Cricetulus griseus: one gene and its partners. The protein of the gene in region 1 interacts with the protein of each later gene in a pairwise test. Links are inferred from orthologs where the notes say so. Each region holds a gene or a part of one and is shown in the gene's direction. Other genes may lie near its edges.

Region 1 (3,046 bases):
GAAGTAAGGTGTACATCATATTGTGGAGGATCTGGAGTTGAGCCTTTTTTTTCTTTAAGTGGTGAAAAATGCCTAAAGAGTTGTACTGAGAAGCACTGATCACCTGCTAGAAAATAACTAGTTACAGCACTATCCAGTCATCCCATGGGAACAGCCACGCCTGAGCTAATGTGGTAAAGGCATAATAGACAGTAGAAGATGGCTGTGGCTATGATGGAGAGTGGAAAAGCTGTTGCTTTCTTCTGTGAACTGCTAGGGAGAGAAGAGAACCAAGCATAGCACTCAAGTGTCCAATTAGATGAATTGAGAATTGCTCAGTACAGCAGACAGAAGTGACAGAGGTCCCAGGAAAGGCTAGGCATAGTAGCATGCATCTGTAATCTCAGCATGCAGTTAACATAAGCAGGCAGAGGATTGTGCATTCAAGGCCAATTTGGACCAGCTACATAGTATGACCATAGTGCAGGGAGAGGGACTAGAGACAGAGACTCCAGGAAGGGAGAGGAGGAAAAGGAAAAGGTCTGTGGTGAGAGGTGCAATATTCCTAGCTTTAGAGGCCATTCAGACTGTTGTGATTCAAAGGAAAAGTAGGAAATCAAAGTGGGTTGTGGGATGTCTCCATGTAAGACCCCAAGCTGTGATGCTCTGGACACTTCATTTGGGACCTGGATACTAGAGGTTCAAGATTGAGAGCCTTTGAGCTGAGGACCCAAGAAGAGCTGGCAAGAGCTGAATGCTTCCGCTTGTATTGAATCTCAGAAACAGACCTTGCCTTCTCTCATCCCAGGGCCAGGAAGGCAACCTGCCCCTGGTACACCAGCACTCATCCCCTGCTCCCTACCTTCTTTCCACTTTCGTCAGGTTGAGCTCCAGATGATCCAAGAGGAGAACCGTCGCTTAACTATAGAGCTGCAGGAGGTCAAGGGCCAGCAAGAAGAGCAAGGTGCTCAGGTTCAGCAACTGAAGGACAAGGTGGCACACATGAAGGATGCCCTGGCCCAGGCACAGCAGAAAGTGGTGAGTGAAGTCATGTAGATGATAGAGAGCAGTGAGAGTACCAAAGTAGTCTAGAGAAAGAGACAAAGATGGCTAAAGTAAACAACACAGTCCTGGGTCCTGATGAGTGGGCCCCCTAATTCACAAGTAGTTGCCTAAGGGATCTGATTTCTGTCCTTTTTCTCCGGAGGCTGAGCTGGAGCCCCTGAAAGAGCAGCTTCGAGGAGTCCAGGAACTTGCAGCCTCAAGCCAACAGAAAGCTGCCCTTCTTGGGGAGGAATTGGCCAGTGCAGCAGGAGCCAGGGACCGCACCATAGCCGAGCTACACCGCAGCAGGCTGGAAGTGGCTGAAGTCAGTGGCCGACTGGCTGAGCTCAGCCTGCACATGAAGGAGGAAAAGTGCCAATGGAGCAAGGAGCGTACAGGGCTGCTGCAGAATATGGAGGTAGAGGGTGACCCTTCCCCCTACCTCAGAGACTCTAACCTGTAGTGAGGTGCTCTGGGAGGAGGGAATAGGGGACGTGATCCTAGGAGGACTTGAGGAGAGGTACTCAATGGAGCAAGGAGCGTACAGGGTTGCTCAGAAACCGTTTAGGCCCCAGACATACAAGAAAGGGTCCCAGTGAGTACAATGCTATTTCCCTGGCATCCCTTGCCACTTCACCTCCTCCCTCCCATCTTTCTTTGTACCATCTCTAGGCCGAGAAGGACAAAATCCTGAAGCTGAGTGCAGAGATCCTTCGGCTGGAGAAGACAGTACAGGAGGAGAGAAGCCAGAGCCACATATTCAAGACTGAGCTGGCCCGAGAAAAGGACTCTAGCCTGGTGAGGTGCTCACAGAGTCACATCTGGGCTGGAGGTATAACATAGGGGAGTTATGGGGTGGCTTCTGGTATTACCAAAGCCTCTTCATCCAGCCTAAGACAGTTACCTGGGGCCATATTGGAGAGAGAGAGTCTAGGACTTGACCTGAGCCCCGGGGGCCAAGACAAGGGCCTTGTGGAAGAAGCACTTTGTGTGTGGAGCAAGAGAGAACCTAGTTTACTTTTGGGCCAGTTTCTTGGTGGCACACTGCAAGCTGCAGGATCCATGACCCTTTCCCCTCAGGTACAGTTGTCAGAGAGTAAACGAGAGCTGACAGAGTTGCGCTCGGCCCTCCGTGTGCTTCAGAAGGAAAAGGAGCAGCTGCAGGCGGAGAAACAGGTGAGACTCACCTGTAGTTCAGGCCCTGGATGCCAAAGCCAAGGGCTTGGAGACTCAAACTTCTGTACCATCTTGGTAATCCCTTGGCTCAGAAACTGGAATCTCTTTGAGAATGCAAAAGCTGAAAAATGGCTCTGACTCCTCTTAGGAACTAACTTTGTACAGGGGAGGAACACCAGAAGGGATCAAGGTGCAGGGTAGAGGAGAGCTCTCAATTAAAGGGATCTGCCATGTGTGACTCCACCCCATGGCGAAAGCATCTACAATGATGTCTGGGAGCAAGGAAAGCCCAGGAGGCCAGCAGGGTTGTCCTCTTACAGGCTTTGACACCTGCCTTTTTCTTCCCCAACTCCAGGAATTGCTGGAGTACATGAGGAAGCTGGAGGCCCGATTAGAGAAGGTAGCAGATGAGAAGTGGAATGAAGATGCTGCCACAGAGGATGAGGAGGCCACTGCAGGACTGAGTCTGTCCCCAATCTTGTGACACCTCTTTCCCTTCCCCCTCTTTGAGGAAAGCTATTGAAGCAGCCTAGCCTTCCCTTCCCATTCCTGGGGCCCTCTGCAGTTGAACCGTCTCCCTCCTTAGATTCCTATGGCTGACCTTTCTTCTCTATCTGAATGCCCTCCCATAGGCTGCCCTGCAGCTCTGACGGACTCTGAAGATGAGTCCCCAGAGGACATGAGGCTCCCATCCTATGGCTTGTGTGAGCATGGAAACACAGGCTCTTCTCCTCCTGGGCTCCGGGAGGCATCTTCCCTTGTTGTCATCAACCAACCAGCACCCATTGCTTCCCACCTCTCCGGGCCAGGGGAGGACAGCAGCTCTGACTCAGTGAGTAGTGAGAGC
Region 2 (4,336 bases), on another chromosome or scaffold:
GGCCTAATATGTGTCTCTTTGTATGCAGTTGGAGCAGGGCAAACCCTGTGGGATGAATGGAGATACAGGCAGCTCTACCTTAGTTGTAACAATATCAGCCTGGTCATCATGCTGGGATATGGAACAGGGAAGGTCAGGAGGGAAATTATCAAAATCTAGTTTTTAGTTTCCTGACATTTTCATTTCTTCTGCAATACAAAGGCTCGTGAGTATTGCTTCTTAACAGCAAAATGAACTTTCACAGCAGTTCTGACTAACAGAGAAGCCAGGTTACTGAAAACCAGCAGACCAGCTGCAGTATATTTCATGGTGTGCTCCTATGGGTGCCTTTGGTATTAGGTGAGCAGGTGCAGCAGCCCTTCCAATCAGCTCTGTATTGGCTGGTTACTCTCAGTGGGTACATCTGTGCAGGTTGCAGCCTTCTAAATGTAATGAATCAAATCAACAATAGCACTTGGTGGGGGGCATAGGGGTGTAACCGTTGAAGTTTGGCATTTTAAATTCTGCTGAGTTGCCAGAGGTAAAAAGAAAGAGAAATGGCTTATCTCAATTTTCCTATTACCATCCTTGTGAACGAATCATATGTAGCACAGATAAGAACTAGTATTTTGATACAGAGACTTATTTAAGCAAGATGCAGTAAACATAAGGTCCCTGCTTTTTTATTTTGGGGGAGGGGGTTAGAGACAGGGTTTCTCTGTGGCTTTGGAGGCTGTCTTGGAACTAGCTCTATAGCCCAGGCTGGCCTTGAACTCACAGAGATCCGCCTGCCTCGGCCTCCCGTGTTGGCATTAAAGGCCTGTGCCACCAACACCCAGCTTTCTTCATGAGAGAGAATCTTACACTCAATGCATCTCACACCCAATGATGAGAACTCTTCCTGCACTCAGGCTTGTGCAACACTCTCAACCTCTACAGGGTGTGTGAATGTGTGTGTGAGTGTTTTGTTTGCCTTTATCTAAGTACACCAAGGAGGTGAAGTGCCTGTGGAAGCCAGAAGAGGGCGGTGGGTCCCCTGGAAATAGAGCTACAGATGGTTGTGAACCTCCACAAGGCTTTTGGATCTGAACTTAGGTCCTTTGCAAGAGCAAACCACTCACCCATCTCTCCAACTCCGTTTCCAATATATTTAAAAACACCCACCAACAAAAAAAAAATAGTGAATCTTAGAGCAATTTTTTTTTTCCCTTTCCCCCCACGTTCTCCTGACTTTCTGATTAGCGTCCCTTTAGCCTGGTGCACCATCACAGGAAATCAGGCAAGAACGCAGATATCTGGATAGTAAGAGTCTTGATAAGACAGGAGCTAGCACAGTGCAAGGTACATCATTGCGCATGCTGATTATTAACTCAGCGAACCCCGCACACCTAAAACGCCCGCCGCGGGGCGGACTTCCAACGTTCCACCAAACCTTTAGCTCTGCCGCCTTTCAATCTGCGCCTGCTCCGTTGGCATAGTAACAGGCCAGGATTTGGTTCCTGCTTTGCGACAGTCGTAAACTGAGGTTTCCGGACGGCTTCCTCGCTTTATGACAGCTACAACTATGGCGGCGTTGGGTGGAAGATTTGAAAGTGCTAGGAGTATCGAAGAGCGAAAAGAACGGACCCGCATTGCCAGGGCCGAAGTGTTACGCCAGGTATCTCCGCTTTGGAGTGTTTTCTTTCCTCCTTTTAAGACCAGGGCTCACACTGAGCGCTTCCTGCACTTCAGGCCAGCACTCTCCCAGAGAATCCGTCTTTCGTTCCTGAAATGCTGTCGTTTTTTCTCTTAGACAGATCTCGGAAAGTTACTTAGAATTGCAGGACTTGACACTTCCGGGAGGTAGTCCACCTACTCCTCTCCTCACGTCGGTATTTCTCCATGTCAGGCTGTCAGCTGTTTTCCCAAAGCAGTGTCTCCTAAATTCTCTGCCCGCTCGCTTTGCTCATTCCCTTTGCAGAGAGATGTGATTGGGTTCCTTAGCTTTTAGTCATCTATTCTTGACATTTCTGCCGCCTGGATCGCTAGGTTTCTTTTTCTTTTTTTTTGCCCAGTTTAAAAAACATTGAGCAATACATCCCCCACTCTCCTTCCCTCTCCCCTCCCCTTCCACTCTCCCTCCTGCCCCTACTCTTCCTATTTACTTAGGAGATCTTGTCTAGTTCCTTTTCCTAGGGTCCTCTAGGTTCTCAGGGGTTGTGGCCTGTAGGCTGGTTGTCCTTTGCTTTAAGTCTAATATCCAATCATGAGTGAGTACATATTTGTCTTTCTGGGTCTGGGTTACCTCACTCAGGATTTTTTTTTTTTTTCTGGTTCCATCCATTTGCCTTCGAATTTCAAGATGTCCTTTCTTTCTTTCTTTCTTTCTTTCTTTCTTTCTTTCTTTCTTTTTTTGGTTTAATCACTGAGTAGTACTCCAATGTCTAAATGTACCACATTTTCCTTGTCCATTCTTCGATTGAGGGGCATCCAGGTTGACTCCAAGTCCTGGCTATTACAAGTAATGCTGCCATGAACATTACTGAGCAAATGTCCTTGTGCTTTGAGTGTGGATTGCTCAGTTTCTATGTACTGTACCACATTTGAAGACACCAGTTGTCTTGCAGACCGAGTCATTTCTTCGGCCTATTGGAAGTGGGAAACATTTGAGTACAGTGGGCATTCCTCCACTGTCTGTCTGTCTTTCACTGGGCATTTAAAATGGTTTATTACGGTTTTTCATGACAGTGAGACACAACACCAGACAGACTGATTGAAACACTGTTTAACATAAGAGACTCAGAATGTGTGTCTCCCCCAAAAGTTTGGTAAACAGAATTCTCATTAATATTGAAATATATGGAATTTATAAAAAATGGAAAAAGTAAATATTGAATTATCTGATAAGTTTTTCCAAACTGTGACTGCACAAAGGGCAAATTTGTAGTTGAAGAACAACAGTGTTTGGTAACAATTTGGTGGGGGGCTTAAGGGGAAGAAGTTTTAATAAGTTTAAATGTATATAAAGAATAGAAAAGATAGGAAGAATGAGTAATGATCGTCATATTTTTATGGGAGTGAGTACCTGGTCTCGGACAAATAAACCATTGTGATTTTTCATTGATCTCAAAGTAGATATAATAATATTCTTCATTATTGTCTGACTGGTATTTCCAGAAGTTTTGGGAGGAAACTCTTTATAAACTGTAATGAATTTTATAGGGATCTGCATATAGGACCAAACTCAGCTTTGATGTTTGAGAGGTAGATGAGAAAGCAGAAAAAACCTTGCATTGTTTGGCGTTTGTTGACTGTTGACTAGAAACTAGCAGTATGATCCTATCTTTTTTTTTTTTTTCCTTAGTTCAAGTTAGGGAACAAGCTTGTTTCACATGTAAGTCCCTTCTCCCTCTCCCTCCCCTCACCCCCATCCCTCCTCCCCCACCTCAACCTACCCCCCACCCCATCCACCCACCACTCCCCAGGCAGGGTAGCCCTCAACGGGGGCTCTGCAAAGTCCACCAAATCTTCTTGTGCTGGGCCTGGGCCCTTCCCAATGTGTCCAGGGCCAGAGTGTAACCCTTCATGTGGGATGGGCTCTCAAAGTCCCTTCTTACACCAGGGAAAAATACTAATCCACTACCAGAGGCTCCCTGGAGTGCAGAGGCCTCCTTATTGACATCTATGTTCAGGGATCTGGATCACTCTTGTACTGGCCTCCCAGTTAGCATCTGGGGTCGATGTGCTCCCCCTTGTTCAGGCCAACTGTTTCTGTGGGTTTCTCCAACCTGGTACAGACCCCTTTGTTCTTCATTCCTCCCTCTCTCCAACTAAATTCCAGATTTCAGCTCAGTGTGTATCTGTGGATGTCTGTCTCTGTTTCCATCAGCCACTGGATGAGGGCTCTAGGATGGCATAAAGAGTAGTCATCAATCTCATTTTAGGGGAAGGGTTTTTAGGTTGTCCTCTCCACCATTGCCTGGATTGTCAGATCATGTCATCCTTGTAGGTCTCTGGAGATCTCCCTAGTTCCAGATCTCTTCTCAGACCTATAGTGGCTCCCTCTAATATGGCATCTCTCATTCTGCTCTTTCTCCTCTATTCTTCCCCTGACTCAATATTTCTGCTCCTCTATTTCCTCTCCTCTACTCCTCTTCTCTTGATCTTATTGTGGCAGTTCCCTCTCCCCTACCCTTGTGCTCCCAATTAGCTCAGGAGTTCATGCCACTTCCCATTCCTGGGGTCCATTTATCCCTTAGAGTCCTTCATGTTTCCTAGTTTCTTTGGTGAAGATGATCCTATCTTTTTAAGAAGATTTTTTTTTTTTCTGAGACAAAATATTGGGGTACAGATATTGCCTATTGAAGGCATGGAAAAA
Region 3 (3,566 bases), on another chromosome or scaffold:
CCATCTCCAGCCCTTGCTTCCTGTCTTCAATATCCTTACATCACTTAATAAAAATAGCCTGACATAATCAGGTGGCATATACCTATAATCCAAGCACTTAAGGAGGCTGACGTGGGAAAATTGCAAATTTAAGCCTGGATAACTTCAGATAACCAGTCTCAAAAAAAAAAAAAAAAAAAAAGTAAAGAAAAGAAAAGAAAAAAAGATTGGTTGTGAAGGGAATATAGATCAGTGGTAGAGTACCTAACATGTGCAGGGTCCTGGAAGCAGTCCCCACTGAGAGGAAAAAGAAGAGGAGGGAGGAGGGAGGGAGGAGGAGGAGGGAGGGAGGGAGGGAGGGAGGGAGGGAGGGAGGGGAGTATTTAGTTTCATGCAATAGAATGAACACTTCTTCAGAAATAAACTTAGGTTTAAATCATGACTTAATTGGGGCCTAGATTGTTATCTTGGTGAAATCACTTATTGATGATTGATGTGGGAGGGCCCAGCCCACTGTGGGTGCTTCAACCCCTGGGCTGGTGGTCCTGGGTGGAATAAGAAAGCAGGTTGAGCAAGCCAGGGGGAGCAAGCCAGTAAGCAGCACTCTTCCATGGCCTGTGCACCAGCTGCTGTCCCCAGGTTCCTGCCCTGTTTGAGCTCCTGTCCTGACTTCCTTCAGTCATGGACTATGACATGGAAGTTTAAGCCAAATAAGCCCTTTCGTCCCCAACTAGCTTTTGGTCATGGTGTTTTATCACAGCAATAGAAGCCCTAACTAAGAATTTCTATACTTTTTAACAGTTAAAGAATTGGCAATTTAGCCGGGCAGTGGTGGCGCATGCCTTTAATCCCAACACTTGGGAAACAGAGGCAGGCGGATCTCTGTGAGTTCGAGGCCAGCCTGGTCTACAAGAGCTAGTTCCAGGACAGCCTCCAAAGCCACAGAAAAACCCTGTCTTGAAAAACCAAATAAATAAAAATAAAGAAATTGGCAATTTAATCTGTATGCCTTTAATTCCAGCTTTTGGGAGGCAGAGGTGGGTGGATCTCTGTGAGTTTGAGGCCAGACCTGGTCTACAGAGTAATCTTCTAGGCCAGCAAAGGCTACATAGTGAGACTCAGTCTCTAAAATAAATAAAAATTATGGCATTTTTCATCATTAGACAGTTTCTTCAGTTGAAAGTTTTTAGCATCCCACAAAGTAATTTTTGGTTAAGAAAGTAAAAAAGAAAAGAAAAAAGTCTACATGTCTGCCTTGACACCAAAGCTAGGTTTGTTTGTTTGTTTGTTTGTTTGTTTGTTTATTTAAAATTTTTATTTGGGGGGTTAGAGAGATGGTTCAGCAATTAAAAGCACCTGCTGCTCTTGCAGAGGAGCTGGGTTCAGTTCCCAGCACCTGCCTGGTGGCTCACAGCCATCTTCTAACTCCAGTTCCAGCTCACTGTCGTTCTCTTGTGGTCTCTGCTGGCACTGCACACACATGGTGCACATACATACACTCATACAAATAAAATTAAAGGCATGGGATTAAAAGCATGTGACACCACCAACCAGCTATCTTGGTTTTGTTTTGTTTTGTTTTGAGGCAGGATCTCTGTCTGCCACCTTGGCTGTCATGAATTCATGAATATCCCTAATGCCGGGATAAGAAGCAATTATAAACATGCACCTCCATACCCAGCCTGATGTGGATTTTGTTTATATGGCAGAATCTAGTTAAGTAGTTCAGGCTAACCTCAAACGTTCTATCTTCCATTTCTTCCAAATGCTAGGATTACAGGTATGTGTGTGTTGTGTGACAAACTTTTCCTAGGGAGACACAACATATTTTTGTGTATTTATTTCAGATAGGGAGCCCATGGCAGACCAAAGTGTGGATACCATTAAAGTTCAATTTGGTGAACCACTCAGCTTTAGTGGGGTTACTTACCGGAATATGGGTGAGGGGTTACTTATGGGGGAAGAAATGACTTAAAGACAGCTGCATCACCAAAATCCACCCCAGCATGGGTGACAGCTCACAAAAGCTGGAAACCTGGAGCTCACTGCACAGCCCACATGTAGCCTAACAAGTGGCAGAGTGTCCTTTTTAGTTGAGTCAGTTGGTCTGAGCCTCTTGTGCAGCTCCACTGGTTTTTTTGTTGCTGTTGTTATTTTGTTTTGTTTTGTTTTTGCTTCTTTTGGTCTGTTTGGCGGCTCTCAGGAGTCTTTTGTGTGGCTTGGCTCCTCTGGGAGAGGCTCTCAAAGTCTTTATTGTTTATTCTAGAGAAGGAAGGGGCCAAGTGAGTCTGCTCAGCTTTAGGGACTTCCTGGAGTTGTTCTGAACTGTTTACTTTTTGTCTGAAGGAGCTTCCCTATAGGATAGAATGTTTGTTTTGTTTTTTAAATGTTATTTATTTATTTATTTTACATCCCAACCACAGTCTCCCCACTCTCTTCTCTTCCCTTTCCCTCCCCCTACCAGGTTGGTATGTTTTAATCTCAGAAAAATAAATAAATGAATTGCTAGAAGTATAGTTCTAAAGAGTAATAATTGATTTTAATAAACCCCTTTAGCCACTTGGCTACCTTGGAGCTAGTGATCTCAGGTTTTGGTCTATTTCCAGCCTCATAGTAGTTTGTGACGGGTGTGATATGTGTGCTGTATATACACTTTTTTCCCTCCTAGATTGCACCAGAGCTGCTGAACAATTAAAGAATAACCCACGGCACAAGAATTACCTAGAACTGGTGTCCCTGAAGCAGCTGGAGAAGCTGTTTGTTTTTTTACGAGGTTACTTGCAGGGGCAGAGCTTGGCAGAAACGAAGGAACAAATTCAACGGGAAACGACCATTGACCCCGAGGAAGACCTGAACAAACTAGATGACAAGGAGCTCGCCAAAAGGAAGAGCATCATGGATGAACTTTTTGAGAAAAATCAGAAGAGAAAGGATGACCCCAGTTTTGTGTATGACGTTGAAGTTGAGTTCCCTCAGGATGAACAGCTGCTGTCCTGCAGCTGGGACACCGAGTCAGCCGATGAGTTCTGAGACCTGCTGATCCATGTCTCCACAAAGAACAAGGACTGGCCCTAGAAAATCTGTAAACACGAAGGTACATATAAAACCAAGAGACTCATGTGTGCTGCGTAGGCCTGTGAGGAACAACAGCAACAACAAACAGTATAGGAATGCCATTTAAGGAGTTGGCAATCTAAAAGGAAAGTAACTCAAAAACTTGTAAAAAGATATTTGAATAATATTACTCAGAAACGAGATTAGAATCAGATTTTCAATGAAGGCTGACATAGCAAGGAAGGTTTTCCCTCAGCAGAAAGGGACCTGAGCATGGCCCTGGAATGCTACAGGTGGTTTTGTAGATGAAGCAAAGGGGGAGGGTGTAGTAAAGAGACAGGACATGAAAATTTGGAGAAAGAGTGAATAATTATAGTTTGGCAAGATTGAGATTAACCTGTGTTCATTATGTCTCTATGGGTATTTAACTCTCGGGTAGACAAAAACACCTGCAAAGTGCTTCACAGCTACAAGTGCATGCAGACTGAGAGACAAAGGCAATTGTGTCCCTCCACGCTCAGGAAATGTTACTG
Region 4 (3,650 bases), on another chromosome or scaffold:
CAGTAATTAATTTTTTTTAAACTTTTGGTAGTAGAAATATAGACAACAAGTCTGTTTGAACTACTGTGTAAAAAGACTGTATCACATGTAACTTGAATTTCATGTAAATGTTAACGCATGCTAAATAAAAGTTTATTCAGTCTAACAGAAAAAAAACAAGTAATTACTATGTTAACTAAGGACTAATTGAACACAGGCCTGTGGTACCCTGACAGTCAATCTTATAACTGAGACAGCTAATAAACAATTAATGGTTACTGTAGCATGCAATGTGAATACACTGGCCAGAATGCTTGTCCTTGTTCTAGCTTGCTGTTACTATGATAAAACATTGACCAAAACCAGCTTAGGGAGGAAAGAGTATATCTGGATTGCAGCTACAGTTGACCATCAATAGCAGCTAAGGCAGGAGCTTGAAGCAGAAACTGTGGAGGAATGCTACCTACTGACTTGTTCCCTCTGGTTTGCTAAACTACCTTTCTTATACAGCCAGGCCCACCTGCTAGGGATGGCACCACCCATTGTGGGCTGCAGCCTCCTACATCAGTTAGCAGCTAACACATGCCCCAGAGACCTGTCCATAGGCCAGTCATGGTGGCAATTCCTCAACTGAGGCTTCCTCTACATAGATCTGTAAAGTTGACAACTACTGCTAGCTATGACAGCCTTGAGTACAACACAGCAGGACAGTGCAAAACTTAAAAAGGTTCTCAACCTTCCTAATGCTTTGAACTTTTAATACAGTTCCTCAAGTCATGGTGTTCACCATAAAATTATTTCATTGCTACTTCATAGCTGTAATTGGTGTTCACCATAAAATTATTTTGTTGCTACTTCATAGCTGTAATTCTGATGCCTTTTCTAATCATAATGTAACTATCTGATATGCAGTTTATCTTATATGCACAAGGGTGTTTGACCCCCAAAGTAGCTTTGCCGCCCCCCCCCCCCCCCCGCCGCAGGCTGAGAAACACTGCTCTAGATCCTTCATCCTGGAAAGATGCCTAGCTACATGAATCGAAAACCTTAGAAATATGTGTATACTTTTGTGTAAACACGTTTAGGATCATCCTAAAAGGAAGAATTCAAATGTGCCAACAGACATTATATAAGTTGAATTTAGTGATATTTGGAAGATAAGATTGTTTTTGTTTTTTGAGACAGGATTTCTCTGTGTATAGCTCTGGCTGTTCTGGAACTCTCTCTGTAGACCAGGTTGGCCTCAAACTCAGAGAGATCCATCTGCCTCTGCCTCCCAAGTGCAGGGATTAAAGGTATGCACCACCAACGCCCAGCTGAGGATTGCCTTTGCTAGGGAAGTAAGTTCGCTGTTCAGTCTCTACCCTTGGAAGAGAACAGAGGGGTGAGGTTAAGTTCTGACCCTATGAGACCCACCTCCACCCCCTCCCAACTTCCCATGTGCCTTTCCTTTAGGTATGCTGCCCGAGACAAGAGTCGATTGATCCAACTGGGCATCACCCATGTTGTGAATGTTGCTGCAGGCAAGTTTCAAGTGGACACAGGTGCCAAGTTTTACCGTGGAACTTCTGTGGAGTACTATGGCATTGAGGCTGATGATAATCCCTTCTTTGACCTCAGTGTTTACTTTCTGCCTGTTGCTCGATACATCAGAGATGCCCTCAATACTCCCCAAAGTGAGCTGCTGGGGAAGGGACTGGGCAGGGTGGGGACAGGGTGGGATTTGGTGCTATCCATTTCTACAGTAGCACTGATGGGTAGGGAGCCCATGCCACCAACCCCATCAGCAGCCCTCCCACTGTAAGGAGCGGGTAGCTATTACCACTTAGTGAGTATGTCGTGGAAATCAACAATTCCAGATATAACTAAGAGTCAGCAAGGGGGCTGGAGAGATGGCTCAGTTGGTACAGTGCTGGCTGTGCAGAATGAAGATCTGGAACCTGCATGAAAAAGGCAGGCATGGTAATGTGTGCTTGTTCTCCCAGCATTAGGTGGATGAAAATAGGAGGATATCTGAGGTTCACTGACAGGGCAGCCTAGGCAGTGAGGGACCCTGTCTCAAAATACAAAGGCAGACAATGCCTGAGGAGCAACCTCCAGAGTTGATTTCTGGCCTTCATATGTATGTGTACACATTTGGATAAACACCTGAATACTCATGTGTACCACCACATCAAAGAAGACACACACACACACACACACACACACACACACACACACGCACGCACGCACGCACGCACGCACGCACACACACACACACACACACACACTATCCATTATGGTTATTAGTATAACCATATCCTTTAGAAAGTGTCCAGTCACTAGGCAGAAATCTAGCAAAGCACAGAGAGGAAACATAGGTAGGTTCAAGGCTTCATGGGCAGGAGAGAGCAGGACTGAGGGGAAAGGGAGAGGGTATTCCCTGTGATGTAAATCCAAGGAACTCCAGAAGTTTGATGACCCTCTCCTGGACTTGCAATGGGCTATCAGAGGAAGCCCCTCTGGACTAGGTGCCTAGCTGTTCACCTCTACTAAATTGCTGTGTGACCTTGAGCCTCCATTGCCCCATCTGACAATAAGGACAGTGTTAGTTTTCCAGGGTGTCGAGACAGGTGGACAGAAGGGATGGCCAGAGCCGTCCCTTCTTCTCAAAGGTGAGGAGGGTGCAGGTGGCCAATGGTAGTTTGGGTTTTCCTACAGGCCGAGTGCTGGTTCACTGCGCAATGGGGGTAAGCCGCTCTGCCACAGTTGTCCTGGCCTTCCTCATGATCTGCGAGAACATGACACTGGTAGAAGCCATCCAGACGGTGCAGGCCCACCGAGATATCTGCCCCAACTCAGGCTTTCTCCGACAACTCCAGGTTCTGGACAACAGGCTGAGGCGGGAATCAGGGCGACTCTGATTTAGGGAGCGCCTGAAGCCCTGACCCCCTCCATCCAGCGTGGCCCAACCTGACCTGCCTGGCCCTGGGGATGGCAGTCTCTGCTGTTTCCAGAGACCCTGAGATTTTTCCAGCAAGTCAGCGCTCCACTGAGGCAGAGGCAGGGCAAGCTGGGTAGCACCCTTCAGCAGGTGGAGTTCCCTGACCCAATACAGAAATTCTTTATGCAGAAGAAAATTCAGTCTGTCTCTATAATAAAAGGTTCATCATAATAAAGATGTTTGTGAGACAATGGCTTTATTGTCACGAAGGCCACAAGCCTCAGGATGGTTTGCCAGCTCTGACTCAGCAGCCTGGAGAAGGAGGGAGCCTGAGGACAAGGCAAGACCCAATGAGGAGAGAGTGCAGGTGGGGATTGGTTAGTGATAATGTTCTGGGTGCAAGAGAAGGTTTGATGAGGTGCTGAGGACCAGGTGACTTCTCCCTCATCCTGCCCCTTTCATGCCCTCACCCAAGGCTGAAGCTGTCTGTTAAAAGAAAAAAAAAAAAAGTTCCAAGTATCAGATCCTCTCCTGGCCATAATCAAAATTCACTTGTGGGGCCCAGCAAGATGGCTCATCAAGTCAAAGATTTTGTAGCACAAGCCCTGGTGACCTGGGTTCAATCTTCTACCTTATAAAGGCAAAGAGAGAGAATGGATTCCATGAAGGTGTCCCCTGACCTCCATGTTCACGCACATATGCACAATCTTAACACAGCATGCCTACACACAGCAATAGCAAATAAAAT

The links.
Region 2: the proteins of calcium-binding and coiled-coil domain-containing protein 1 (region 1) and Cwf19l2 interact in binary tests that used the Homo sapiens proteins (3 or more experiments, as listed by UniProt). The two-hybrid records come from large-scale screens. The link is inferred for Cricetulus griseus from reciprocal best matches to the Homo sapiens genes CALCOCO1 and CWF19L2.
Region 3: the proteins of calcium-binding and coiled-coil domain-containing protein 1 (region 1) and Cep19 interact in binary tests that used the Homo sapiens proteins (3 or more experiments, as listed by UniProt). The two-hybrid records come from large-scale screens. The link is inferred for Cricetulus griseus from reciprocal best matches to the Homo sapiens genes CALCOCO1 and CEP19.
Region 4: the proteins of calcium-binding and coiled-coil domain-containing protein 1 (region 1) and dual specificity protein phosphatase 13 interact in binary tests that used the Homo sapiens proteins (3 or more experiments, as listed by UniProt). The two-hybrid records come from large-scale screens. The link is inferred for Cricetulus griseus from reciprocal best matches to the Homo sapiens genes CALCOCO1 and DUSP13B.

The regions. Positions count from the first base shown.
Region 1 is NC_048595.1:399,089,855-399,092,900, reverse strand, and holds part of calcium-binding and coiled-coil domain-containing protein 1, read left to right. Parts: intron 1-861; coding exon 862-1,017; intron 1,018-1,186; coding exon 1,187-1,441; intron 1,442-1,695; coding exon 1,696-1,821; intron 1,822-2,103; coding exon 2,104-2,199; intron 2,200-2,554; coding exon 2,555-2,663; intron 2,664-2,831; coding exon 2,832-3,031; intron 3,032-3,046. UniProt on the Homo sapiens protein: Functions as a coactivator for aryl hydrocarbon and nuclear receptors (NR). Recruited to promoters through its contact with the N-terminal basic helix-loop-helix-Per-Arnt-Sim (PAS) domain of transcription factors or coactivators, such as NCOA2.
Region 2 is NC_048597.1:118,076,319-118,080,654, forward strand, and holds the start of Cwf19l2 (CWF19-like protein 2), read left to right. Parts: upstream 1-1,505; 5' UTR 1,506-1,528; coding exon 1,529-1,636; intron 1,637-4,336.
Region 3 is NC_048597.1:57,389,770-57,393,335, reverse strand, and holds part of Cep19 (centrosomal protein of 19 kDa), read left to right. Parts: intron 1-2,647; coding exon 2,648-3,009; 3' UTR 3,010-3,566. UniProt on the Homo sapiens protein: Required for ciliation. Recruits the RABL2B GTPase to the ciliary base to initiate ciliation.
Region 4 is NW_023276807.1:199,240,422-199,244,071, forward strand, and holds the end of dual specificity protein phosphatase 13, read left to right. Parts: intron 1-1,434; coding exon 1,435-1,655; intron 1,656-2,679; coding exon 2,680-2,882; 3' UTR 2,883-3,116; downstream 3,117-3,650. UniProt on the Homo sapiens protein: Dual specificity phosphatase that dephosphorylates MAPK8/JNK and MAPK14/p38, but not MAPK1/ERK2, in vitro. Exhibits intrinsic phosphatase activity towards both phospho-seryl/threonyl and -tyrosyl residues, with similar specific activities in vitro.